Saccharomyces cerevisiae S288C: one gene and its partners. The protein of the gene in region 1 purifies or fractionates together with the protein of each later gene. This does not show direct contact. Each region holds a gene or a part of one and is shown in the gene's direction. Other genes may lie near its edges.

The links. Proteins that work in one complex are often made in the same cells at the same time.
Region 2: the proteins of CAF130 (region 1) and CAF40 purify together in Saccharomyces cerevisiae (affinity purification with mass spectrometry; 8 studies listed by BioGRID, with this or other methods). This does not show direct contact.
Region 3: the proteins of CAF130 (region 1) and CCR4 purify together in Saccharomyces cerevisiae (affinity purification with mass spectrometry; 6 studies listed by BioGRID, with this or other methods). This does not show direct contact.

Annotation. Positions count from the first base shown.
Region 1 is NC_001139.9:751,947-761,638, forward strand, and holds CAF130 (CCR4-NOT core subunit CAF130), read left to right. Parts: upstream 1-5,823; coding exon 5,824-9,192; downstream 9,193-9,692. Other genes in the region: YGR130C (uncharacterized protein), read right to left, coding at 1-1,898; FHN1 (Fhn1p), read left to right, coding at 2,780-3,304; prohibitin subunit PHB1, read right to left, coding at 3,643-4,506; PEX4 (E2 ubiquitin-protein ligase peroxin 4), read left to right, coding at 4,950-5,501; PRE9 (proteasome core particle subunit alpha 3), read left to right, coding at 9,446-9,692. UniProt on the Saccharomyces cerevisiae protein: Acts as a component of the CCR4-NOT core complex, which in the nucleus seems to be a general transcription factor, and in the cytoplasm the major mRNA deadenylase involved in mRNA turnover.
Region 2 is NC_001146.8:88,653-91,924, forward strand, and holds CAF40 (CCR4-NOT core subunit CAF40), read left to right. Parts: upstream 1-1,650; coding exon 1,651-2,772; downstream 2,773-3,272. Other genes in the region: PCL1 (Pcl1p), read left to right, coding at 1-84. UniProt on the Saccharomyces cerevisiae protein: Acts as a component of the CCR4-NOT core complex, which in the nucleus seems to be a general transcription factor, and in the cytoplasm the major mRNA deadenylase involved in mRNA turnover.
Region 3 is NC_001133.9:110,346-115,297, reverse strand, and holds CCR4 (CCR4-NOT core exoribonuclease subunit CCR4), read left to right. Parts: upstream 1-1,938; coding exon 1,939-4,452; downstream 4,453-4,952. Other genes in the region: DNA-dependent ATPase FUN30, read right to left, coding at 1-379; ATS1 (Ats1p), read left to right, coding at 683-1,684; nucleoside transmembrane transporter FUN26, read left to right, coding at 4,868-4,952. UniProt on the Saccharomyces cerevisiae protein: Acts as a catalytic component of the CCR4-NOT core complex, which in the nucleus seems to be a general transcription factor, and in the cytoplasm the major mRNA deadenylase involved in mRNA turnover.

The DNA of each region.
Region 1 (9,692 bases):
ATTTGATTATCAATATCATTAATTTGTGGAAGATATTCCTTGTTCTCTACACTTTCCAAAACTTGTACATTTTTTTCATGCAGCTTCTTATTTTCTTCAGTTTGGGTAACCAAATCCTCCTTTTTCTTTTCCAGATTATCGATTTCGTTTTGAACTTTGCCTTGTTTCAAATTAATCTGGTTAATCTTAAAGATCTGAGCATCCAACTGTTGAGATAAGTTACTTAAGTTCGTGGTCCAGTCATTGAACTCCTTTTGGACATTCGTTTTCTCATTGTTCAAATCATCGATTTCTGACTTAACGTTGGTTTGTTTGTCCAAGACCTCATTTTTCTCCTGCAACTTTTGGTTTTTCATATTTTCAGTGTCTTTTAATATCATTAGTTTCTTATTATTATGCTCGGCATTAACATCAATGATTTTTTTGACCAACCGGTTTTTACTAACTTCAATTTTCTCAGAAGTTTCTTCTCTCATGGCCTTCATTGAATTTTCAATTTCGTCAATCTGATTTTGTAAATCTTGTAGCTTTTCTTTGTATTCTTTATTTTTAGCATCATATTTATCCTTTTCCTTTGCTCGAAGATCAGCTAACCATGCTTGATGAATTTTTTCATCATAATTGATTTTATCATAAACTGCCTTTGATAGGTAACCATGTTCTTTTGTCTTTACAATTAATTCAGGATTTTCTGGAGTGGCCACTGGATTGGATGGAGCGGCGGTCTTACTTTTTTGGGTAGATGAAGAAGTAGGGCTTTTCCATAAAGCGAAAATTCCGGTTCTTTCCTTTCGAGAAGGTTCCTGAAAAGGGACCTTGGGAGCCTTGCTTGGATCGATTGGGCTTTCATCTTCTTCGGATTCCGGTTCCGAGGTTTCTGGAGTAGACGTTCTCTCAGCAGATTCCTCTGCAGACGATTGTTCGGTTTCCTCTTCTGCATCCCCTTCCGCTTCCACTTCCTTTTTTTCTTCCCCACTGGGAGGATTGACTTTTTTTACATCGGATTTTTCCTCCTTTTGTTCGTCTGTTGGCACGACACCTGACTTTGAACCGCCACTTTGATCTGTAGTGCGTGGTTCCAACACCCCATTCTCGGATGAGATTGGTTCCGCTACATTAATTTGAGCTGAATCAGCAGTGCCTTTGCCAATTGAAGTAGACTCACTCACTTTGTCTTCATGTTCTTCCTCCACGGAAGTTGCTTCATCAGCACTATTTTCGACAGCATTAGTAGTAGAAGTGCTGGTAGTAGAAGTACTGGTGGTAGTGGTTGTCGTAGTTGCAGTGTCAGCAGTTGCTTCAGTGGCCTCAGATGTGGTAGTAGAAGTAACGTCCCCTTCATCTGATGAAGACGATGACGATGACGATGACGATGACGATGACGATGATGATGTAGAAGTGGACGAAGAAGTAGTAGTGTCAGTGTCATCTTTTTCATCCTTAGTTAAGTCAGTAATTTTCTGGCACTTCTTCAAATATTTCAAATGTTTCTCCTTTAGTTCCAACTCAGTTAGTAACTGATATTGTCTTTCTTCATTTTGAGTTAGGTAAGTTGGAAATCTAATATCTTTGGCTCTCTTAGCATTTTTTGGTATGTTTTTGTACCCTAAATCCTTAGGTTGCTGTTTTGAATAGGCAGAAGTAGCACTTACGGTAGGAAACTTTCTGTTTTTTGCGTCTTCCCCATATGCCCGGTTGTTTTGCCTATTGGCGAGGGCATCTTGTCTAAATGGCGAGACCCACTCTTCCTTACCTTTTGGCTCATTGGACACAACCTTTTGCAAAAACTGATAAGGGCTTTCCTGCTGATGCGCTTGCTGATTTTGCGTATTTGCCGAAGATTGATTGATCAATTGCGTAAAGGGGTCGTCTTCTTGACGGTTGATATTGAATAGCATGTTTTGAATACGTAGTTGATTGACCTCTTTCTTTTAATTGCGTGCAGCTGCTCTCAGGTTTAAGATGTACGAGGGTCCACGGGGTAGCAAGCACAAGAACGATGATATATATGACAGAACGATGGATAAGAATGGTATGTTGTCTGCACTGTTCAGCATTCGACTACCCCTCTCCCGGTTCTTTTCTCCTCGTTTCAATTTAAAAAAGCAACTCGCTACCCGGCCGCACACCCCTTATTCCTGTTCAGCCGTTTAAGGTGAGAACCCTTTACTTCATAGCCTTTGTAGATCTTTCTATTGCTACCATTGAAGGGTCGGTGACGTGGAAATTTTGACATTTATCAGTGGCGTATTGGGAGGCAAGCAATTGAAAGAACTGTGATTTATTTCCGCTTGTTCGAAATTATTGATGTTTAGCACTTTGCAGTAGCGACAATACAATATATGTGCTTTTAGTGCTGGGATAGTTCGTAGCTCCATTTCGGGGCGCTTGTTACATTTATTGTATATGCGCGGATGTGGCACATGCTGTTGAGATCTCACTCCTTTGGTATCTCTTTCCTGCGCCGCATTGTGCCGGCAGAATGTCGCGCTTGTATTCTCATGAACTTTTCCTCTTTACGAACCCTTTGGCGGCATGCCGTTTAAAATCTGTTGAAGATTTCCTTTACGAACAATGAGCAATGTTTTGCACAGGCAGGTGGGAAGTAGGGCCTATCGCGCCTTGGATGCAGATATAAGTATAAATATAAATTATAATAATTGGCTGTATCAGTAAATCCTTCTTGCGATGGGAGGAAGCACGATAGAGTATGTTAAGCTTTTGAGAGGCTTCATATTCATTGGAATTTTAAATAACAATAAAGCAACAACAATAATAAATGCTATCAGCTGCAGATAATTTAGTGCGCATCATAAATGCTGTTTTTCTTATTATATCCATAGGTCTAATCAGCGGCCTGATAGGTACACAGACAAAGCATAGTTCTCGAGTGAACTTTTGTATGTTTGCCGCCGTTTATGGTCTGGTTACGGATTCATTATATGGGTTTTTGGCTAATTTCTGGACATCATTAACATACCCAGCAATTTTGCTTGTTTTGGATTTTTTAAATTTCATATTTACGTTTGTAGCAGCCACCGCTTTGGCTGTAGGTATAAGATGCCATTCGTGTAAAAACAAAACATATCTGGAACAGAATAAGATCATACAAGGCTCAAGCTCCAGATGTCATCAATCTCAGGCTGCTGTTGCGTTTTTTTACTTTTCCTGTTTTCTATTCCTCATCAAAGTGACTGTGGCCACGATGGGTATGATGCAAAATGGTGGATTTGGCTCTAATACCGGATTCAGCAGAAGGAGGGCAAGAAGACAAATGGGCATACCTACAATTTCCCAGGTTTAAGCCTACTGGACTGAAAAAAAGGCAATTCGCGTACAATTTTCGTTGATCGTTCTTTATATAACCTTTGCATTAAATAAATTTAACAAAAAAAGTTCTTTCTAAAATAATATTATGGTGATACATGAATGTGCTTTAGTTTTTTCGTAGGCTCATCCATGTATATATATAAATGATAAAAAACTAAGTTACGATATTGATAGCATACGTATTCGTGTTGGTAACTAAATGGAAAGATGGAATATGTTATTGGCGTTGTTATCCCCCATATATACAGGTTTCTAATATGATTAAAAAAAAATTTTCTCCCCTAGTTTATTGTGTTCATAGCTTTTCCAGACTTAACGGCCAATGTTCAAAAGCAAGGAATTTGGTGATCCCGAAGACTCGCTGTTACCACCACCAGAATGTTGACTTGGTAAATAGACAACGTTAGATGAGTTTGCTAATGTTTGAGCGATGTCCTTAGAAGCTTCTAATCTTCTAATCAATAACAGACCATCACCAACTTTAGCTAAGGCTTTTGAAATGAATTCAGCACTTTCTGCTTCACCTTCAGCTCTGATAACAGAAGCTTGTCTCTCTTGCTCTGCCTTTTCGACAAGGAATTTGGCTCTTTCGGCATCTTGCTGTGCAATCTGCTTCTGCTCAACTGCTTTCGTGAATTCGGGACCAAACGTCATATGAGTGATAGAGACATCTTCCAACTTAATACCGAATTCGTTGGCCCTCGTAGAAAGCTCTTTTCTGATTTTTTGAGAAATAATTTCTCTCTGAGTAATTAACTCAGCAGCATCAAATTGAGCTACTATAGACTTTAAAACCTCATTGCCGATAGATGGTAACACTCTTTCGTCGTAATCGAGACCCAAATTTTGGTATATTGCGGGTAGCTGTAAGACCTCTGGTCTATGTAAGACTCTCAAGGTCAATGACACCATTTGCAAATCCTTCGTACCAGTATTGGTAGCAATGCTCTTTGGTTTCGTCCTCACATCGTATATGATCGCCTTCTGTAGCCAAGGCACCAAGAAATGAGTGCCTTCACCCACAACCTGTTGCTTTACACCATTGATTCTGTCGAAAATAACACCACGAGAACCACCCTTCACATCATACATGGAGTACTGAATCCCGCTAGCAATTATACCAATGGGCAACGCCACCTTGGTGATGACATCGATAAGTTTGGCAGAATTAGACATTCTTTTCTAAAGTAAATTATTGATTTTGAATGTAAGTTTCGTACCGTTGATGGTTGGTTTACCGATTTATTTTTTTTCCTCTTCTTTCTGCTTAATATTATATACCTCAACCGTTGCATCCATGAGATCGTCAAACTCCCTTTCCCTGAAATTTATTGATGCGATACATTCGCGTTACCCGTATCATCATGAAGACGAGTTTATTCTCATCAGTGTTGATCTCTCATACTTGAATAACTCATTTGCAATGGTCTAAGACTCCAACTATGTAGTCATAGTCATTCACTGAAGTTTCTCTTTTCGAAATCCTGAACGGAAGCGGAATATATGTGGTATATATCGCATATTACTGCTTCACAGCATGCAGCGCAGACTGGCCGGGTTATGCTGCCACTTACTGGAGACAACATAAAATATACATAATCATCGCCTTTATACATAATATGCCAAACTTCTGGATTCTTGAGAATCGTAGGAGCTATACGTCTGATACATGTATGTCGAGGATCGTGAAGGAGTACAAAGTCATACTGAAAACATTGGCCAGTGATGACCCCATAGCGAACCCCTACCGGGGGATAATCGAGTCACTTAACCCGATTGACGAAACCGACTTGAGCAAGTGGGAAGCTATAATTTCTGGGCCGTCAGACACACCTTATGAAAATCATCAGTTTCGAATACTAATAGAAGTCCCTAGTTCCTACCCCATGAATCCACCAAAGATAAGTTTTATGCAGAACAATATTTTGCACTGCAATGTTAAATCAGCCACAGGAGAAATATGTCTGAACATCCTTAAACCAGAGGAGTGGACTCCTGTATGGGATTTGTTACACTGTGTTCATGCTGTTTGGAGACTCCTAAGGGAACCCGTTTGTGATTCTCCACTTGACGTAGACATTGGTAATATCATCCGCTGTGGCGATATGAGTGCCTATCAGGGGATTGTAAAGTACTTCCTAGCAGAAAGAGAGCGGATCAACAACCATTGATACCACGTAGGATGGATGTGTTCGAATGGCAAACAATGGGCCCTCACTTTTATCTGATGCAATTTCTACCTTACCCGGGCAGCGCCAATTTATGAATACAAATACTTTAACAAATTGCACTATTGATGTATTGACACATTTGTATATACATATACATATATTAATAAGGAGCACGAATTTTTGACAAGTAGTGCACGCAATATCTACATTAGTTAGCTTTTCCATTGACGCTGAATTTTATTTTGGCAGCCCAGTAGATCGTTGAGGAGCTTTTTTCAAACACTTTTTCTCTCTTAACTCCACATACTTACGTAAGAAAGTGATGACGAAAAAGAAAGCAGCTACTAATTATGCTGAAAGGCAAAATTTAGCCAGTGAAGATTCTTCAGGTGATTCGGTTCATTTTAAGGACTTTATTCCCTTACAAGAGTTACTGAAAGATAAAAATTATGTTCCATCGGTGGAAAATTTGGAGAAGATCTTATATAATGAAACCATGTTTAATGATCAGAAAATATGCTCTAACCTATTGCTTGAGGCTCTCATAATTACGTTGTTCACAACAATTTCAGGGAAGTCAGCTTTACGATTAATTCAGACTTCTTCTTTGAAGGAAAGAAAATCCTGGGCCCAGTCCTTTGAAAATAACAGTTCTAGCTATGCTTCCATAGTACTGAGTTGGAAAGATAATGATATATTACTCCTGAAATTCTTAAGGTTTTTATTAGCAAATAAAACGGCCCCTCTTCAAATTAATCGGTACAATCTTCCAGAATACAAACTCCCGTTGAGCTTTTTAATTGTTTCAAAAATTACTATTCCGTCCATATTACTCAATGAAACGTATAATTTGTTAAAGGACTATTTGTATTCGATAACTGGCCGTATAGAGAGTTTGATAAGCTGCAGCTCCACATTTGATAAGCCAGCACTTGTCGTTAGAAAAATTTTAAAAGATTACAATAGAATGATAGAATGCCGAAATTTTTATTTCTGGTATTCCTTTAATGCTGAGAACAGAGTAAATCTTACTTTTAGTGATAACATTAGCCTGTTAATGGAAAATGATGAAGGCAATGCTGGAAGTGGCCTTGACGATAGCCGTTTTGATCATCAAAAACAACCGAGAGAGGCGATAATGGGCCGAACAATAAATGACCAGGAACAAATATATTCATTCGAACTGAACCAAGATGGAACGCTTGAAATACCCAACGTTATGGAGCATTCTTTACTAAGACACGAGCTTCTTTTTAAAATATTAAATCTCACTACGGTATTGACGCCATTATTGGAACTACAATTTTCTACGCTATGTGGCTTAGTAGATCCATTAATGCAGCCTACTCCCAATGATAAGCATATTATATCGATAGACTTTCTTTTTCAGCTTTTTTTGGGATTAATGTCTCAGTCGATCAAGACTTCTCAAGAACACAACGACCATTATGACTGGAAATTTTATATGTGTTTTAACATGCAAAAAATTATTGATGCTACCATGTTGAGGCTCAACTGCTTTGATTTTGATATATTAAACTCGGTAAACAATACAGATAATGCAGTTCATTGGAAGACGCAACTTCACAGATGGCTACCGCATGGCCTGAATACACAAGACTTGGAATTACTCTATATGATTGATATACTGGCGGTATATACCATCTACAAGTTGTATGAAAAAATACCTATACAACTAAACCCATTTTTATTTTCATTAATATCCTTATGGAAAAACCTCTCCTGTGTTATACTTTTAGCCTTAGAAATTGATAGAATTGAAGAGGAGAATGGCACTTACGAAACGCCGCTTATGGTTCGCGCCACAATTCGTGGAGCCGCAGCATTGAGGTCTGTAATAGCTACCGTTCTCAATGGATTAGTGAAAAATAATGATCATGATTTCAAGCACGAGTCTTTAAACACATTCATGTCGCCCTATGGAAGAAAATTGTGTCATGGTGCTTTATATGCCGATTTAAGGTCACATACTGCATCTCTACTTGCGCTTGGAGCAAGCATCGAAGATGTAACAGATTTATTTGCCGATTTACAGTCAGGTGATAGATTTGATGAGGATATTAGATATATGTTTGATTATGAATGTGAAGATTATGATGAATCTTTCTCTGAAAGCGATCATGGAGGATTGGATGAAAGCGTTGTTAACCCAACAGAAAAAATAGCATCTGGTAGTAATAATGTTTTCTTTCGGAGACGGTGCAATTGCATCTTCAATGATGATAAGTTGGTGGCAGAGGATGGTGCAAATGAAGCCTTTGGGTCAACAAATAGCGAAAACGTTGAAGGCGCAATGCATAATAATAGGAATGCGGTACATAACGCGACTACAGCCACTTCTGATCACGTCGTTACGTCACCTAACCCACTTTCCGTTAGATCAAGAAGTACTTTTGAATTTGACTATAGTGGGGAAGATTGGAGGGACGTTCCCAGAGATTTCAATATGTACTATTCGCCATCTTATTCATTCATCCATGAGCCTAAGTTAGATGTCATATTTAGTTTGACTCTACGTGGCGCAACAGAAAAGTTGAATAAGGAGGAATCCATATTGTTAGTGCGTTCAGTTGCATCGTGTGTAAGGAACGAGCAGGACCAAATGATTTTAGCAGACCTGGAGTCTAATTTTTCCGCAAGTATAAACGGCGATGTAGAAGGTGAAGGAAATACCAAAATGTCCAAGATAGATAATGAAGATCTCAGAAGAACCACGCCGGATGATATTTATGAAATATGGTCTGAAGAATCAGCATTTGAAAGGATGCTAAACGTGAATCACGACGTTGCGTGGAGATTAATGGATGAAATGTTAATGTGCACCGGTTATAGGAGAATATTGATATGGTTCCTTACGCATTTGGAGTTAAAACATTCGTTGATATATTACGTTTTTGAACTAATAATGGGGTTACGTGGAAAACCGTTTTCCGGAGAAGCCAGTGATCAAGATAAAAAGGATGATATGATATATGAGATCTTGAAGAAAAAGCAGAAGAATGAAGATGCTTCAGGACTTCCCTTTTCAAGGCAAGGACCTATCGTATTATCTGATATTGAGACTAAAATGTTACTGCAGGAGTTTTTTATGAATGCTGCTATTTTTTTGTCATCAAAAAATAACGAAGAAGAGAATGAAGACGGCGAGAAAATCTCCTTGTACTCCCTTGGTTTGGTTAGGTTGATCTGTTACATGGTGCAGACACTCATCGCGAACGACAAGTTTTTTTTTACCAAATCAGAATGCACTTTTGAGCTTCAAACTTTACTGATGACATGGATTGGCATCCTTCCTGAAGCCAAAGATTTATTCTTTAAGATCAAGACAAGGCTCGCCATGGAAGAAGAGGATAGTGCCGATACTATGCAGCATGAGGGCAGGAAGAACTCTGACATAGAGAAGAAGCTAAACGCTAAGCCAGCTTCTGAACTGAATCTGAAATTGTTAAACCTGTTTCCCTCAAAGCCTGCAAACAAAGACGATAGTTCCCCTATTAACACGTTGCGTAGTTTTATCGCTGATTACTCCTTCGACACCCAGGTGAACCCTCCAGGAAGAAGGGTGGTGTTCTACGATGGTAAGATTTTGCCATTGCCCAAAGCCGATAAGCCTATCCCACTTCATGAATATATAACACTCGCAGAGCTCGATGTTGGAGACAGTGAGTGAGCAGTGAATTGCTCATGTTTTCTCTGCATCCTCATTTAATGACAATTAGCCATGTAATAACATCTTGAGGCAGTTAAATATTCGTTACCCTGCAGGTGGCAAAAAATTTATAGAATAAAAGCATAAAAAGATGGATATCTATGTAATAAGGAAACATTGGCAGAGCGAAGAGAACAGACTGCTTTCTATAAAAAGTTTTCGATCAGTCTCTATTTTAATAATTGATTATTGGATATAGTTAGTAGTGTTAAACATGGGTTCCAGAAGATACGATTCCAGGACAACAATTTTCTCCCCTGAGGGACGTCTATATCAGGTTGAATACGCGCTAGAATCCATTTCACATGCAGGTACCGCAATTGGGATTATGGCATCTGATGGGATTGTTCTTGCAGCAGAACGCAAAGTCACAAGTACTTTACTAGAACAAGACACCTCTACCGAAAAACTTTATAAGTTAAACGATAAAATTGCGGTTGCCGTTGCTGGACTGACTGCAG
Region 2 (3,272 bases), on another chromosome or scaffold:
GTCAGGACGGTAGAGAAATGGAACGACAATGTCAACAGGCAAAGTTGGGATCTGGAACAGATCATGAGTCAACATGGGTTTTAATGTGGTAAACAAGATGGCCCTTACGGGGCTCTTAGTGGGAGAAAGATTTTTAATAGAGCATAATTAACGGATACATAATATATTATAAATTTAAATAATCAAGGATACCTAATAATAATAACAATCAACTGAACACAACATTAAAAATGGTATTTGTTATTGTATGTTAAGCCCTAAGTGATTGTGCCGTTATAACTTCCATTCGGGTGATACCTGCAATATGAGGAAGAAAAAAGATAAATTTTTTCTTCTTAAAGTATAAAAGGCGGACATATTTGATTTAAATGCAGAAGTTTTCTCTCAGTGGTTTATGTTTTACATATGATAGAAAAAATGAAGCAATAGCAAAGTATCGTAGTGCGAACCGGTCTCGTAACTTTGATAAGTTTATCAAAGGCGTTAACATTTTGTTTCGTAATAGTACCTTAACACATGACGAAGATGAAAATTAAACATGAATTCAAGGAAAAATGGTAAATGACGAGAAAAAAGCTGTGCACCAGTCTGAACATGGATGCCACAAGTACTCAGGTGTCCTATGAAGCATTAAGTATACCCAAATTTCTGATCCATTTTCCTTTATTTTCTTTTTTTTTTTTCTCTCACATCTGTGACTGTATTATGAGCAAACTGTTTACGTTGAACGGAATCGATATGTAAATTAAATCTTTTGAAATATGTAGGACAGTGCTTGTATAGGTCTGTTAAGTAGATTATAGAATGTACGCCTTTTTTCTGGGCGTGAAATAGATCAGAAATCCTGTTAGGTTGCCACTGGTCCATTTCAGTGTTGCTCATCCAATCAATCATGTATTTACATGCCTGGAGTGGCCTATTCTATGTATTAACAGCCTTTGCAAGACGCGACATTGTTCTTTCCGATATGGCTCGGAGTAGACTAAATATGCTACTTATAGTTTTTCTTGCGTATACCATTGTCTTATAGTTTTTGCACACATTAATGTTTAAAATTGAAACTACGAAGCAAAACAATAAAAAAAACAAACAAAACTTAAAAATAAACAAAAGACGCTCGAAACCAAGTGCATTTATTGAATGTTTTTGGGAATGCAAGTAGCAATACTATTGTAAAAGTACTACTATTTCCCTGTATCATACGCTTTTACTACTATTCCTCACATAAAGCGAGATGCTTACAGAATGCATAAGAGAGAGAAGAAAACCCTATTACGCCCACTTGTCTATATTAGATTACTGTCCCTATTTATATCATCATTGCAAAACGTGAGCACCTCATTAGACGTAGATTCTTGCATAAGTATTACTAGCAGGAGAGGAAAAACTCCACCCACACACCTCAACATGCTGAGAATTTTGCTGCGAGCAGCAAGAGGCAAAATCCAAATTTAAAGTAATTTACGCATAGAAGACATTGTAAAGGGATTGCAAAGACGTAGAGTACGCAAGTTAGAAACCGTTCATCTTTTAAAACTCCCAAGTTTTGACAAATTTGCGAGTGTGTGTGTTTCTGCTGATCTTGACGAGATTAAACTTTGTTCCTGAAGCAACAACGACAGCAACTGAACATCCTCTGAATAAGTTAATATGTTTTCCGCTCAAAAGCCAATATATGGCAATGGAGCAGGCGTGAACATGGGTGGTGGTGGTCCTTCAACTAATAATCCAGGATCTATGTCCATGCCTGGGGTTCCAACTTCAATGGGTCCAGGCATGAATCAACAAATTCCAAGTGGAGGCCCCATGCTAATGGGCAATACTCCGAATAATAATAATAGCAATGAAAATGGCGAGAACAACGGCAATAACGGCAATAACGGCGGTAACGATGCTAACGCAACTCGAAACAATCCCAACATGGTCAATAATAGAGGCGCAGTGCATGCTCTAGATGATCCCAATGTATACCACTGGATTTGTCAATTGACCTACGGCCCTCAAAAGGAACAAGCACTGCTTGAATTAGGTCGCAAAAGAGAACAGTTTGATGACCTTGCCGTTGTGCTTTGGTCTTCCTTTGGTGTAATGACCTCATTGCTGAACGAAATCATTTCCGTATATCCCATGCTGCAACCTCAGATGCTCTCTAACAATCTATCAAATCGTGTATGCAACGCTCTAGTTCTTCTACAGTGTGTTGCATCTCACCCAGAGACAAAACATCTCTTTTTACAGGCCCATATTCCTCTCTTTCTTTTCCCCTTCCTAAATACTACCTCCAGGCAAAGAACTTTTGAGTACTTGAGATTGACTTCATTAGGTGTGATAGGCGCATTGGTCAAAAATGACTCACAAGACGTAATAACGTTTTTGCTAAGAACCGATATCGTGCCGTTATGCCTAAGGATCATGGAATCTTCTTCTGAGCTTTCCAAGACAGTCGCCATTTTCATTTTACAGAAAATCCTACTAGATGACGTTGGATTGCAATACATCTGTGCCACCTTGGAAAGGTTCTACGCCGTAACTAATGTCTTAAAAGATATGGTTGAGCACTTGACCGTGAGCACACCACCGGGACGACTACTGAAACATATCATTAGATGCTACTTAAGATTAAGCGACGATCTCGAAGCACGCAGGCTATTGAAAATAGTCTTACCTGCCAAACTGAGAGATAACACTTTTACGGAAGTACTAAGAGACGACGTCGGGTCCAAGAGATGTCTGGCACAATTGCTACTGACATTAAACGAAGAAACCTCATGATGCATCCCCATAGATATATTACTGTTTTTCTCTTTCTATTTTCCTGTATTGTTTTAACCTTGCCTTTTTGTTTTAGTTTCACTTCCTCACCTCTCCTAATTTTGTATAGTTATATTTATATGCATGAAATGTATAAAGTCCACTCATATTTCAGAATGGTTTAAGTTAAGTGCCAGAAGGTTCTTCTGTACTATTACTATTACCCATTTTTCATCCTATCACCCGGAATGTACCCCTTGTGTCATTCACTACGACGCCACGAACCACGATTCTATTTTTTTCGAAATCTAAAGGTTTCGTCAAGATCAATGAAATATACATAGGCGTTTTTTTGGATACGAGTTGCATTGTTGAGAACACAATTCTTTACAAATAAGTGCAAGGGAGGAATTGTGTGTGCTCATTACCAACGTACTTCTTCAGTTATTCTGCTAAACCCGTTTTTTTGTTCTTAGCTTCATCCAGGTGAGCCCGCAAACATTACAGAACGACGTATAATA
Region 3 (4,952 bases), on another chromosome or scaffold:
TGGGAGATGCGTTCTTGTTCCATGTCCAATTTTGTCTTTGCTGCCTCAATCTTGTAAGACGTTCCCTGGCAGACTGTAAGTTAAAAGAGTTAGATTTGAAAACAGCCTGCACCAGAGTTTGAGAGAAATCGGGGAACTCTCTCGCAAGGTTAACCAGTGCTACCTCAGGACTCCCAGATGGGAGCGGCTTCGAAGTATGAGCTCCTTCGCTGGGATCTGAAGGCTTGAAAGTAAACCTGCTTCTCAAAGACGCCACACTTGCATCCGGAACTGTTGGCGAAGTAGGCTTTAAGGGAGACGACGATGCTACCTTGGTGGGAGAGGACGTCTCGGGCACTTGCACTACGTCATCCTCATCATTTGAATGCGAACCACTCATGTTTTCAACTATAGCGTATTTTCTCTCTTTTTCTTGTTTACGTTCCTTACTGTAGATAGTCGGGTGTCCACCAGTAGCAACAAACTCGAATATAGAGCACTATAGCACACGCCAGTACTGATTTAAGTTACGTGTTGCATTGCGAGATGGGCTCATGATCTCTTTTAATCCTACAAAGTGAAAAATTATGAAAAATTTCGCGGCGACGGGGGTAACGCAGCCGTTTGAGCCTTGATAATGCAGGCAGATCCAAAGCGCAAGTGATGGAATGTGATCATTAAAGGCTATAACAGGCTTGTATCGATGAGTTGTGTGTATGCGTTTGGGTCTAATGGGCAAAGGCAACTGGGACTGGGGCACGATGAGGATATGGATACCCCACAGAGGTCTGTGCCAGGAGATGATGGAGCAATAGTCAGGAAGATAGCGTGCGGTGGGAACCACAGCGTGATGCTGACAAATGACGGGAATCTGGTAGGATGTGGAGATAACAGACGGGGAGAACTGGATAGTGCGCAAGCACTGCGGCAGGTGCATGACTGGAGGCCCGTGGAAGTACCGGCACCCGTGGTGGATGTGGCGTGCGGCTGGGACACGACAGTTATTGTGGATGCTGATGGCCGTGTATGGCAGAGAGGAGGCGGTTGCTACGAGTTCACTCAGCAACATGTGCCATTGAATTCCAACGATGAGCGCATCGCAGTATACGGATGTTTCCAGAACTTTGTGGTGGTGCAAGGCACCCGAGTATACGGCTGGGGCAGCAACACAAAGTGTCAATTGCAAGAGCCCAAATCCCGATCACTGAAAGAGCCCGTATTGGTGTACGATACCGGGTCTGTGGCCGTAGACTACGTGGCCATGGGCAAGGACTTCATGGTCATAGTGGACGAGGGCGGCCGCATAGTGCACGCATCCGGTCGCCTGCCCACTGGGTTCGAGCTCAAACAACAGCAAAAAAGACACAATCTAGTGGTACTGTGCATGTGGACCTCGATCCACCTGTGGAATGCGCGCCTCAATACGGTAGAGTCGTTTGGTAGGGGCACACATTCCCAACTCTTCCCGCAAGAGCGCCTAGACTTCCCTATTGTCGGTGTTGCAACCGGGAGTGAGCACGGTATTCTAACTACTGCTAATCAAGAAGGCAAGTCTCACTGTTACAATGTATACTGCTGGGGCTGGGGAGAGCATGGCAACTGCGGCCCGCAAAAGGGCTCCCAGCCTGGACTGCAGCTCGTGGGCCAATACTCTGGAAAACCTCGCGTGTTTGGCGGATGTGCCACCACGTGGATCGTGCTCTAGCACTGATAAGTAACTATATACCCACTATCATATACATAGATGTCCATTCAGCATTAATTCTCATCGTGGTAGATCTCAAAGGTAAAGTAGCCGTTTAGGCCTTTTGTTATCGCCCGTACTTGCGAAAAACGGGCCAACAACGAAAAAATTTGAAAAAGTTTCCACCTTAGAGAAGGTTCTCAAGCACAAGGGCACAGCATAAGGGACACCAGCAAGGGAACTCCGACTGACGTTATCCCTGCAAACTACCGCTAATGAACGACCCTTCTTTACTAGGCTACCCTAATGTGGGCCCGCAGCAGCAACAGCAACAGCAGCAACAGCAGCATGCCGGGCTACTAGGAAAGGGTACACCAAACGCTCTACAGCAGCAGCTACACATGAACCAGCTCACCGGGATACCTCCACCGGGACTCATGAACAACAGCGATGTACACACTTCCAGCAACAACAACTCGCGCCAGTTGCTCGACCAATTGGCTAATGGGAACGCGAACATGCTCAATATGAACATGGATAACAACAATAACAACAATAACAACAACAACAACAACAACAACAACGGCGGTGGAAGCGGGGTGATGATGAATGCCTCCACAGCCGCAGTAAATTCTATAGGGATGGTTCCTACCGTTGGTACGCCTGTGAACATCAATGTGAACGCCAGTAACCCTTTATTACACCCGCACTTGGATGACCCTTCTTTACTAAACAATCCGATCTGGAAGCTTCAATTGCATCTGGCTGCAGTGTCCGCACAATCTCTGGGGCAACCCAACATTTATGCTAGACAAAACGCTATGAAGAAGTATTTGGCTACACAACAGGCTCAGCAAGCTCAGCAACAAGCGCAGCAACAGGCACAGCAGCAGGTCCCGGGCCCATTTGGCCCCGGACCTCAGGCTGCACCACCAGCTTTGCAGCCCACCGATTTCCAGCAATCTCACATTGCAGAAGCCTCCAAATCACTGGTAGACTGCACAAAGCAAGCCTTGATGGAAATGGCCGACACTCTCACCGACAGCAAGACAGCAAAGAAACAACAACCTACGGGAGATAGCACTCCCTCAGGCACGGCAACTAACAGTGCAGTTTCTACACCATTGACTCCCAAGATAGAGCTGTTTGCTAATGGCAAGGACGAAGCCAACCAGGCGCTCTTACAACACAAGAAACTGTCTCAGTACAGCATCGACGAAGATGACGACATTGAAAACAGAATGGTCATGCCCAAGGACTCGAAATACGACGACCAATTATGGCACGCGCTAGATTTGTCCAACTTGCAAATCTTCAATATCAGCGCCAACATCTTCAAGTACGATTTTCTAACGAGACTATATTTGAATGGCAATAGCCTCACGGAACTGCCAGCGGAGATCAAGAACCTAAGCAACCTACGCGTTTTGGACCTGTCGCATAATAGGTTAACATCTCTACCAGCGGAACTAGGCTCATGTTTCCAATTGAAATACTTCTACTTTTTTGATAACATGGTCACCACATTACCATGGGAGTTTGGGAACCTGTGTAACCTTCAGTTTCTTGGTGTAGAAGGAAACCCCTTAGAAAAACAGTTTTTAAAGATCCTTACAGAAAAATCTGTCACGGGATTGATTTTCTACCTAAGGGACAACAGACCAGAGATTCCCTTACCGCATGAACGTAGGTTCATCGAAATCAATACCGATGGGGAACCACAGAGGGAGTACGATTCTTTGCAGCAATCCACTGAGCATCTGGCCACCGATTTAGCCAAGAGGACGTTCACCGTCTTATCCTACAACACCTTATGTCAACACTATGCCACCCCAAAAATGTACCGTTACACACCGTCGTGGGCGTTAAGTTGGGATTACAGGCGCAATAAATTAAAGGAGCAGATTCTCTCGTACGACAGTGATCTGTTGTGTTTACAAGAAGTGGAGTCTAAGACTTTTGAAGAGTATTGGGTGCCCCTATTGGACAAGCACGGTTATACAGGCATCTTCCATGCAAAGGCAAGAGCCAAGACCATGCATTCCAAGGACTCCAAGAAAGTGGACGGGTGTTGCATTTTTTTCAAAAGGGACCAATTCAAGTTGATCACCAAAGACGCCATGGATTTCAGCGGTGCTTGGATGAAACACAAGAAGTTCCAAAGAACTGAAGATTATTTAAACCGTGCAATGAACAAAGACAACGTTGCACTGTTCTTAAAGCTACAACACATTCCTAGTGGCGACACCATATGGGCGGTCACCACGCATTTGCACTGGGATCCAAAATTTAATGATGTCAAGACATTCCAAGTAGGTGTCCTGTTAGATCATCTGGAAACGCTGCTAAAGGAGGAGACATCGCACAATTTTAGACAGGACATTAAGAAATTTCCTGTGCTCATTTGTGGTGACTTCAATTCATACATCAACTCCGCCGTATACGAATTGATAAATACAGGCCGTGTCCAAATACATCAAGAGGGAAATGGTAGAGATTTCGGTTACATGTCGGAGAAAAATTTCTCACATAACTTGGCTCTCAAATCAAGTTATAATTGTATCGGAGAACTACCATTCACCAATTTCACACCGTCATTCACAGATGTTATCGACTATATATGGTTTTCTACACATGCTCTAAGGGTGCGTGGGCTATTGGGTGAAGTGGACCCTGAATACGTGAGTAAGTTTATCGGGTTCCCCAACGACAAATTCCCCAGTGACCATATACCATTGTTAGCAAGATTTGAATTTATGAAGACAAACACAGGCAGTAAGAAAGTATAAACCGCACACTTTCATCCCACTCCCTCCCTCCTCTCTGTACACTACCTCATTATAAAATTGAAACGATCCCAATCTCACCGCACTTCCCATAAAGCCTTCACGTTATACTTTTTTTTCTCATCTTTTTTTTCTCTCTCTCTCTCTCTCTCTTTTGCGTATCTTTTTCGTCCTGTTTCTTTCTTACTTAAGTATCTTTTTATAATATTTAAGAGAGCCAAAATTATTTAACCAAACCAAGAATCTTGTATTCTATAACGAATCCTTAATTCTTCTTGTTGTTATTAATGCCAAAAACAGAATTAATTTCCCGAAAAAGAAAAAAAAATTGACTTAAAAAATCATAGGAAAGGATGAATGATTTACGTTACGGCGACAGCTTATCATCAAACGCAAGAAAGCATACCAGATTGCAAAAATGAGTACTAGTGCGGACACTGATACCATCAAGAAGCCAATCCTTGCGGTGCCAGAGCCTGCACTGGCCGATACGCATTCAGAGG